2 linked regions of the Xenopus tropicalis genome follow. The protein of the gene in region 2 purifies or fractionates together with the protein of the main gene of each other region. This does not show direct contact. Links are inferred from orthologs where the notes say so. Each region holds a gene or a part of one and is shown on either strand. Other genes may lie near its edges.

Region 1 (4,365 bases), on a different chromosome or scaffold from region 2:
GTGGGTCCAGGAGACAAGGGCCCCAGACCACATGGTCTACTTTCTCTTTAGGTGTAAGGAGATCCCCACTCACTGGCTGCTCTCCTACGTGAGAGTGAGTGGTGGAGAGTGGGGGATGTATGCAGGTGAGTGGGGGATCAGTATGGGGTTAAAGTGTGGACTAGGCCCCTCCAAAGTGCTGTGTAGTTACACTGTATATATTTTTAGAGCTAGAGTAGACTCTAAAATACAGTAGATATTGGTAAAAGAATTGTCACTTGTATTGGGGTCAAAAAAGAACTAAAGCTTAACAAAGATGTGGGGTGCAAATGCTGATAAAAGCCATAATACAATGCTGATAAGTTGTTAAACCAGATTTTTATTACATGAAAGGAATACAGTTTGCTCCAGAATTTAATAATAAACCCTGTAGCATCAGCTTCAATAACAGGAGAACCTTATTTTCTGCTTTCTGATTTCTGACAACCCCTAAGCTTTGCTTCTCAACAGCTGCCCAGAGCCCACTGAGTATGTGCAATGTCACTGACACATCTAACAAAATATTGTGGTTGCATTACGAAAGTCACAAAATTTTCGGATCCGAACGTTCATAAATGGCGTGAAAACCTTTCTGGCTTTGTAACCTTCAATGCATGATTTTGGGAAGCCTTCCATAAGACTCAATGGCACTCTGCAGCTCCAACCTGGCCAAAAGATAGTCACGATACCAAAGGTTGAATGAATCCCGAAATGGTTGTAGTCTTTGCGAAAAATACGAAGTTAGTGCAAATCACAAAAAAGTCGTGGAATGTGAGCGAAATTATTGTGGACATTCCGAAATGTTCTATAGAAAAATGCTATTTTTTTTTCTAAAAAAATGAATGGGCCCCTATATGATAACATGAAATAAGGACTCAAAAAGGCATGGAGTGGATCATTATCATGGGGTTGGTTAACAGCTCTGGTGTGCTTGTTTTGTGCACCTCTTCTCAAGATGTAATATAAAGGACATTTACCCAGCTGCAGTAACCTAGAGAGCAAGCAATACATGTTTGATTTTATACAGGTGAAATGGTGCCATAAGTTACTATAGATGAGGTAAAATTTGTACTATTGTTGCTTCCCAAATGAATTTAAAACAGCCCTGACCCCCACGTATTGCCCTAACGTTCCCTGCCATAATTTAATAATGAATACCGCCGTTCCACTGTATTACACAGGTGCTTAAAATTTTGGCGGAAAGACAAAAACAGTTGTTTATTATATGACACTCTAGTCGCAACCTGGGAATGTACAAAACGTCAAAGAAAATAACTTTATGATCAATTATGCGAAGGCGGTTTTGCCCTTACGAAAGATGGCCGAAGTGACCTCGGAGCCGTGACGTACGTCTCTTTCCTGTTCTAATGCGCGTTTGCTGGAAATCAACGTGCGACGCCAGCTTGGAGCCGTAAGGCGCACGGAAGCGTGTGTGAGCGGTAAGGAAGGAGCTTGTATGGGTGATTGCCGGGCTTGTTTGTCATTGTACGAGGGTTTCTTTTGGTAATAGTTCTATACGTTCCGCTCCTTCGCTTGGTGAGAAGCTGGCAGCGGGTAATGAGCAACAACTTCCCCAGCAGCCACGTCCAACTCCTGCCCGTTCTGTTGCTATTGGAATAAAACGCGCCTGTAGTGCGGGTTTATATGTAGCTGTAACTCGGTTAAGGGGCAACTTCGTGTGGTAATTAATGGTATTGATTGATTTGTAACTGCAATCAGTTTCCATACATTGCAACCAATCAATAGAGCTGTCCCTGATCTGTGTGCGACTGGGGGTCGCCAGTGTATGGCTGGGAAAGAGCTGCACTAAAGCTTATAATTGTGTATTATACACACACTAATATACACAGGGGCAGGCTAGTTTGCCTGTATATTGTTGGGTATGGGAGAAAAGTGCAGTGACTAAATCATAATACTACAGGTATGGGATCCATTATCCAGAAAGTTCTGAATTACGGAAAGGCCATCTCACTTAGACCCCATTATAAGCAAATCATTTTAATTTTATAAAATGATTTCCTTTTTCTCTGTAATAATAAAACAGTACCTTGTACTTGATCCCAACTAAGATATAATTACCCCTTATTGGGGCAGAACAGCCCTATTGGGTTTATTTAATGGTTAAATGATTCCCTTTTCTCTGTAATAATAAAACAGTACCTGTACTTGATCCCAACTAAGATATAATTAATCCTTATTGGAGGCAAAAAATCTTATTGGGTTTATTCAATATTAAAATGACTTTTAACAGAGTTAAGTGATGGAGATCCAAATTACGGAAATATCCCTTATCCAGAAAACCCCAGGTCCCGAGCATTCTGGATAACAGGTCCCATACCTGTACTACTAAATCCAGCAGTTACATGTTTTTAATAATGGGATGTTATTTTGTAGTAGTCTGTATATTTCATATTTATTGAAAAATATGCCGGGCTATGCCTTATAGTCTTATCTGTGTTGCTGAAATTGTAGGCTATAAAAAGAAATTCAATTTAAAAGCATGCATTATACTATTACAGGCATGGGACCCCTGGGCTTTTCCAGATAAGGGGTCTTTATATAATTTGGATCTCCATGCCTTAAGTCTACTAAAAAAATAATTTAGTTGGGAACAAGTACAAGGTACTGTTTTATTACAACAGAGAACAATTTAGTATATTTTCAAATAGTGAATTATTTTAATAAACTGGATAATGGGTTTCCAGATAACAGATCTCATACCTGTACAAGCATGTATTTGGTTTTATGTATAGATTTATGTAGGTTGAATTCAGTTGGAATTTCATGGCACATGTTATATACAATAATAATATTCTGATCTGAAAGTGGGTCTGACAGATGTGGTTCGCAGGCTTGTCTAATGTGCAATATCATGGCGGGTTAGTTTTGGTAATATTACAGTGTGCCTGGCTTTTGAAAATTATTGCTTTACTCTAGGGAAGTGATTCCCAATGAGTGGCTCATAAGCAACATGTTGCTCCCAATGGCCCCAAAGCAGGTGCTTATTTTTGAATTCCTGGCTTGGAGTTTTGGTTGCATAAAAACCAGATGTACTGCCCAACAGAGTCCCTTTAGGCTGCCAGTCCACGTAAGGAATACCAAAGAGGTAATAACAGCCTTTTTTTGGCACCAGAAGGAATTTTTTTTTTTTTTTCATGCTTGTGTTGTTCCCCAGCTCTTTTTACATTTGGATGTGGCTCACTGGTAAAAATGTGTGTGTGGCACAGTAGTCCATCTCCAAGGAGAAAAGAACCTTGAGTAATACTGTACTTTTTTTCTATATCTAAGGTCCTTTTTTTTTTTTTTAACATCTCTTTCAGTATTTAGAATATACAAGCCATGGATATTCGGCCAAATCACACTGTCTACATCAACAACCTCTGTGATAAAGTAAAAAAACCGGGTAAGTGTGAGGAGCGTTTAAATGTTGAATATTATACACTCTCAGTCTACACTCTATACAGTCTTTCCTGGCAGAGTACACTTTACATCTAGACAGCAGCATTGGTATTGCAACTCCTTATGCTGTTATCTGTGAAGGCATTTTTTACTCTCCTATATCCTTTGTATTCCCCTAAATAGTAAAAACTGCAGAGAAATGAAGAAAAACAAACAAACTTAAATATCCTTCAAGCTTTAAAAGTGTAAAACTAACTTAAAAAAAAATCTGCTCAGAAGTCTACTTTTTCCATTTCATATACTACTATTCTTCTGCTATTTATTATGCTTCTTGCCCTAGATATTATTGCTGTTTATTGATCTAGTGCTCACCAGTGCTTAGCATTTGATGGCAGCAAGTAGGTAAAAAGGCCATCAGTAACGATTTCTTATCATTTTAGATGTTTTTTTTTTATTGAGGATGGTGCCTGCCTAGGTGCTTCAGTTAAAATGTGCACCACTGCAATCAGCAAGCAATACGAAAGGAGAGAGTGTCGGCAACATGTGCAATCACGGCCGCACCCAGTCATTTGTATAATCACTAATATGCACAGAAAAGCTTCTTGTGCAGAATATCCCATGGCACTGGTTTTAGTAATAAATGTAATAACTAATACTGATATTCTATTTTCACCTTATCAAAATCCGTGCAAGAGATTTAACCATACATGTTTTTATACTTATACTGTGAAGTTTTTTTTTTTTTTTTTCTTTTCAGAACTAAAGCGATCATTGTATGCGCTATTCTCCCAGTTTGGCCATGTTGTAGACATTGTGGCATTAAAGACCATGAAAATGAGAGGACAAGCGTTTGTAATCTTCAAAGAGCTGAGTTCTGCTACAAATGCTCTGCGGCAGTTGCAGGGTTTCCCTTTTTATAATAAACCAATGGTAAGTTATTCCTCATCC
Region 2 (4,472 bases):
CCTATGGGAGACTTTCCTTGGGCCGGGTTGGAGCTGCAGAGTGCCATTGAGCCCTATGGGAGACTTTCCTTGGGCCGGGTTGGAGCTGCAGAGTGCCATTGAGCCCTATGGGAGACTTTCCTTGGGCCAGGTTGGAGCTGCAGAGTGCCATTGAGCCCTATGGGAGACTTTCCTTGGCCGGGTTGGAGCTGCAGAGTGCCATTGAGCCCTATGGGAGACTTTCCTTGGGCCAGGTTGGAGCTGCAGAGTGCCATTGAGCCCTATGGGAGACTTTCCTTGGGCCAGGTTGGAGCTGCAGAGTGCCATTGAGCCCTATGGGAGACTTGCCTTGGGCCAGGTTGGAGCTGCAGAGTGCCATTGAGCCCTATGGGAGACTTTCCTTGGGCCAGGTTGGAGCTGCAGAGTGCCATTGAGCCCTATGGGAGACTTGCCTTGGGCCAGGTTGGAGCTGCAGAGTGCCATTGAGCCCTATGGGAGACTTTCCTTGGGCCAGGTTGGAGCTGCAGAGTGCCATTGAGCCCTATGGGAGACTTTCCTTGGGCCAGGTTGGAGCTGCAGAGTGCCATTGAGCCCTATGGGAGACTTTCCTTGGGCCAGGTTGGAGCTGCAGAGTGCCATTGAGCCCTATGGGAGACTTTCCTTGGGCCAGGTTGGAGCTGCAGAGTGCCATTGAGCCCTATGGGAGACTTTCCTTGGGCCAGGTTGGAGCTGCAGAGTGCTATTGAGCCCTATGGGAGACTTTCCTTGGGCTGGGTTGGAGCTGCAGAGTGCCATTGAGCCCTATGGGAGACTTTCCTTGGGCCGGGTTGGAGCTGCAGAGTGCCATTGAGTCCTATGGGAGACTTTCCTTGGGCCGGGTTGGAGCTGCAGAGTGCCATTGAGCCCTATGGGAGACTTTCCTTGGGCCAGGTTGGAGCTGCAGAGTGCCATTGAGCCCTATGGGAGACTTTCCTTGGGCCGGGTTGGAGCTGCAGAGTGCCATTGAGCCCTATGGGAGACTTTCCTTGGGCCAGGTTGGAGCTGCAGAGTGCCATTGAGCCCTATGGGAGACTTTCCTTGGGCCGGGTTGGAGCTGCAGAGTGCCATTGAGCCCTATGGGAGACTTTCCTTGGGCCAGGTTGGAGCTGCAGAGTGCCATTGAGTCCTATGGGAGGCTTCCAAAATCATGCACAGAAGGATCAAAGTCAGAAAGATTTTCCCACATTTTACGACTGTTCAAATATAAATATATATATCGTAAAGATCCGATTTTATTATATTCTTAAATACAAATTTTTCGTACTTCAAAAAGCATGATACAAAAAAACGTATTTGATACGATTTTTTTTGTATCATGCTTTTTAAACGTATGAACATCGTACTTCGATAAATCTGCCCCATAGAATATATTTTAATTGCATTTTCTTTATTGTACTTTATTTTTGGCAAAGTATGTTTAGCTGTAGACTGCCCCTTTAAAGGAAACAGTACTATGGGGCCGAAAAAACGCAAATCTTTTATAAAGCGAAACGCCTATTAACAGGATATCCGGTGTAAAAGTTCATCGCACAAGAAGGAAGAGAAGCGTCTAAGCGATTCTTTAACCAATTGGAACCCACAAGCTAAGTTTCCTAGGCGTAACAGCAAGGAAATGACGTAAAGTCCATGGGCGAGAAAGAGGCTTGGAACACAGAACTGGAGTGAACGCGCGGCCGGCGAAGGAAAGGAATTTAAACAGACATGGCGAAGCATCATCCAGATTTGATTTTTTGCAGAAAACAGGCGGGCGTGGGTGAGTTGCGCTGGGTAATGTGTTCGGTGTAACGGTGTAAAACTGAGGACAGAAAACTCTCCTCTCGTAGGCATTATAGATTGGCCGTTTCTATTGATTGCCTTTCTAAATCATTCGGATAGCACGTTCGGTACTTGTGTATACTCTCCTTGTATGCGTATGTAACAGGTATATGTGTTCCCTCACAGGGCTTCATTAACCCTCTTTTATTTGTTATCCACAATACTTCAGTTTTATAATTGTTATGTATATTTATGTTTCAGATTGTAGTTTGAGAGGTGGAGCTTGAACCTGATCTAGTTATACGCTGAATGCTAACTCCTTGATTATTGCAATTCTACTAAAGCACAATCTGACTTTCCTATTTAAACTCATGCAACAGAACTTGTCCTATATTTGCAGAAATCTGCAGAGAAACCTAACTTCTTATTTAAGGGAAATGTTGATTATTATAATTACAGAGGTGATCTGCACAGTAATGTTACTATTGAAGTGCTTTCCAACATGAATTTCTTATGTTATGAATGTGAGGGAAAATGACAAAACACAATGTTTAGGTGCATCGAATGGGTGAGATTACTCTGTGACCTGTGTAATGGCAAAAAAACAGCGTGCTATAGAAACACAGATTTGTATTTTTTATTTTTTTTTAATGTTTTCCTTTTTCTAAAGCTACATTGTATTTAACATAACAGATAATGAATTCTAAAGCTTAGGGCTTTCATTGTTGTGGACCTCCTGGTAATCTGATACTATACATGCAATGATACGTCGGTACATACAATACTGAAACAGTTCCAGCCAATACCATTTGAGGTTAATTAATGCCTTACTGAATTTATAAATTAATTTCATGTTTGTACTGGCAAGTTGTTGGAGCTAGTAAAGCTAGTCTTTACTACAGCTTTCAAAGGACATGTAAACCATTTATCTTCCTACCACGTATATAAGTTGGCACATACCCCCCCCCCCAACCAAACTTTACCATTTGTACTGCATATAACCCCTCTGTTTGCCAAAACCATCACATTTTCCTAAAGCAAATAGCAGCTTTACCCGGTGGCCATATTCTCTCTCGCACATCTTTAGTGACATTAAAGGAGAAAAAAATGTTAGGCAGCCCCACGTGGCTTTAATCGCTTACTTTTTACCCTGTGTGGTGCCCCTGTTAGGAGAAAACCGCACCAGCACTGGGTAGCTGTGAGCAAGTGTCTCCTCTTCCTTCTCATCAAAATCCCTGGGCCGGTGCATGTGCAGTAGAGTGAAAAGCCGACTTTTTTGTTAAAGTTTGGCTTTTCACTCTACTGCGCAAGTGCGCAAAGAAAGAAGAGGAGACCACACTCGCAGCTACCCCAGGCTGGTGCGTTTTTCTCCTAACAGGGGCACCAGCCCGGGGTAAAAGGAAAGCAATTAAAGTCACTTGGGGGTGCCTAACGTTTTGACACCCCCAAGTGACTTAGCCTTTCCTTTTCCTTTAACATCTGTAAATTGCACATATTAAAGTTACTTTAACAAGAAGTCCTGCTTGGATTGTGCCCTGTAACCGTAAACTGAGCTCCAGCAGATTACACAGCGAGAGCAGCGTTTCTAGGGAAACCAGCAGTGATCTCTTCATTGGCTGCTAGACTGGAGGCTGTGTTTGGTAACCTGAGTTAAGAAGAACTGAGCATGCTCGTTAGCCACCAGCCGAAGTCAATTCATAAGGGATGGGGCAGAGCGGGTTAGAGGAGGAAAAGAAATCCTAAGTGATTAAGGGGATACTGCAGCCTTTCTATTAACCGTTTGAACAACAGGAGTGGCAGGTATTTAAAGATTTCAATGAGGCTGTTCACTGATTACATTTTTGTTTGTTTTACATGTCCTTTAAAGCATTTTAGATATTTAAGATATGTGTACAACATGATGACCACTGTTTAATATATATATATATATATATATATATATATATATATATATATATATAAACACTTACATTTATAATTTTCTATTGCAGCTATTGGAAGACTCTGTGAAAAATGTGAGTATATATAATTCTTAAACTTTTAAAATATAAATTGCATTTGTTCATATGCAAAAAATGTTTCACCTTTGTCTTCTTTGTGCAACTGATTATTTCTCAACAAGCAATGGTTTTTAAGTGTTGCTGCCAGTCCTATATCTGATATCTCTGATATATCTGATTATATATTCTATATTCAGCAGTTGTATTACATTAGACATTATTAAAAAAATGACATTGCTTAACATCTGCTGAGTGGGGAAAATCAAGAATTTACAGTCTGTTTAAAAGTGTGTGTAGTTGTGGGGTGCATGTAAGGTTAGACTTAAGGTCCTCATACACCATAAGATCCGCTCGCTTGGCGATGTCGCCAAGCGAGCGGATCTTCTCCCGATATCCCCCACCTATGGGTGGGCGATATCGGGAGAATCCAGGGTAATTCGATCCCTGGGGCCAAATGATCGAATTATAACAGCAGGTATAGGAAAAGTCGGTCCGGGGACTGCATCAATGAGCCGATGCGGTCCACGATCCAACTAGATTTTCTAACCTGCCCCATCGAGATCTGGCCAATTTGAGGCCAGATATCGGTCGGGCAGGCCTGTTGGGAGTGCGCTTACACGGGCCAATTAGCTGCTGAATCGGCCCAAGGGACTGATATCGGCAGCTACTATCGGCCCGTGTATGGGGACCTTTAGTCTT

The links.
Region 1: the proteins of phf5a (region 2) and snrpb2 purify together in Homo sapiens (affinity purification with mass spectrometry; 4 studies listed by BioGRID and IntAct, with this or other methods). This does not show direct contact. The link is inferred for Xenopus tropicalis from reciprocal best matches to the Homo sapiens genes PHF5A and SNRPB2.

Annotation. Positions count from the first base shown.
Region 1 is NC_030681.2:29,852,194-29,856,558, forward strand, and holds the start of snrpb2 (U2 small nuclear ribonucleoprotein B''), read left to right. Parts: upstream 1-1,418; 5' UTR 1,419-1,457; intron 1,458-1,459; exon of another isoform or gene 1,460-1,709; intron 1,710-3,338; 5' UTR 3,339-3,357; coding exon 3,358-3,421; intron 3,422-4,174; coding exon 4,175-4,347; intron 4,348-4,365. UniProt on the Homo sapiens protein: Involved in pre-mRNA splicing as component of the spliceosome. Associated with sn-RNP U2, where it contributes to the binding of stem loop IV of U2 snRNA.
Region 2 is NC_030680.2:120,351,045-120,355,516, forward strand, and holds the start of phf5a (PHD finger-like domain-containing protein 5A), read left to right. Parts: upstream 1-1,585; 5' UTR 1,586-1,719; coding exon 1,720-1,771; intron 1,772-3,764; coding exon 3,765-3,788; intron 3,789-4,472.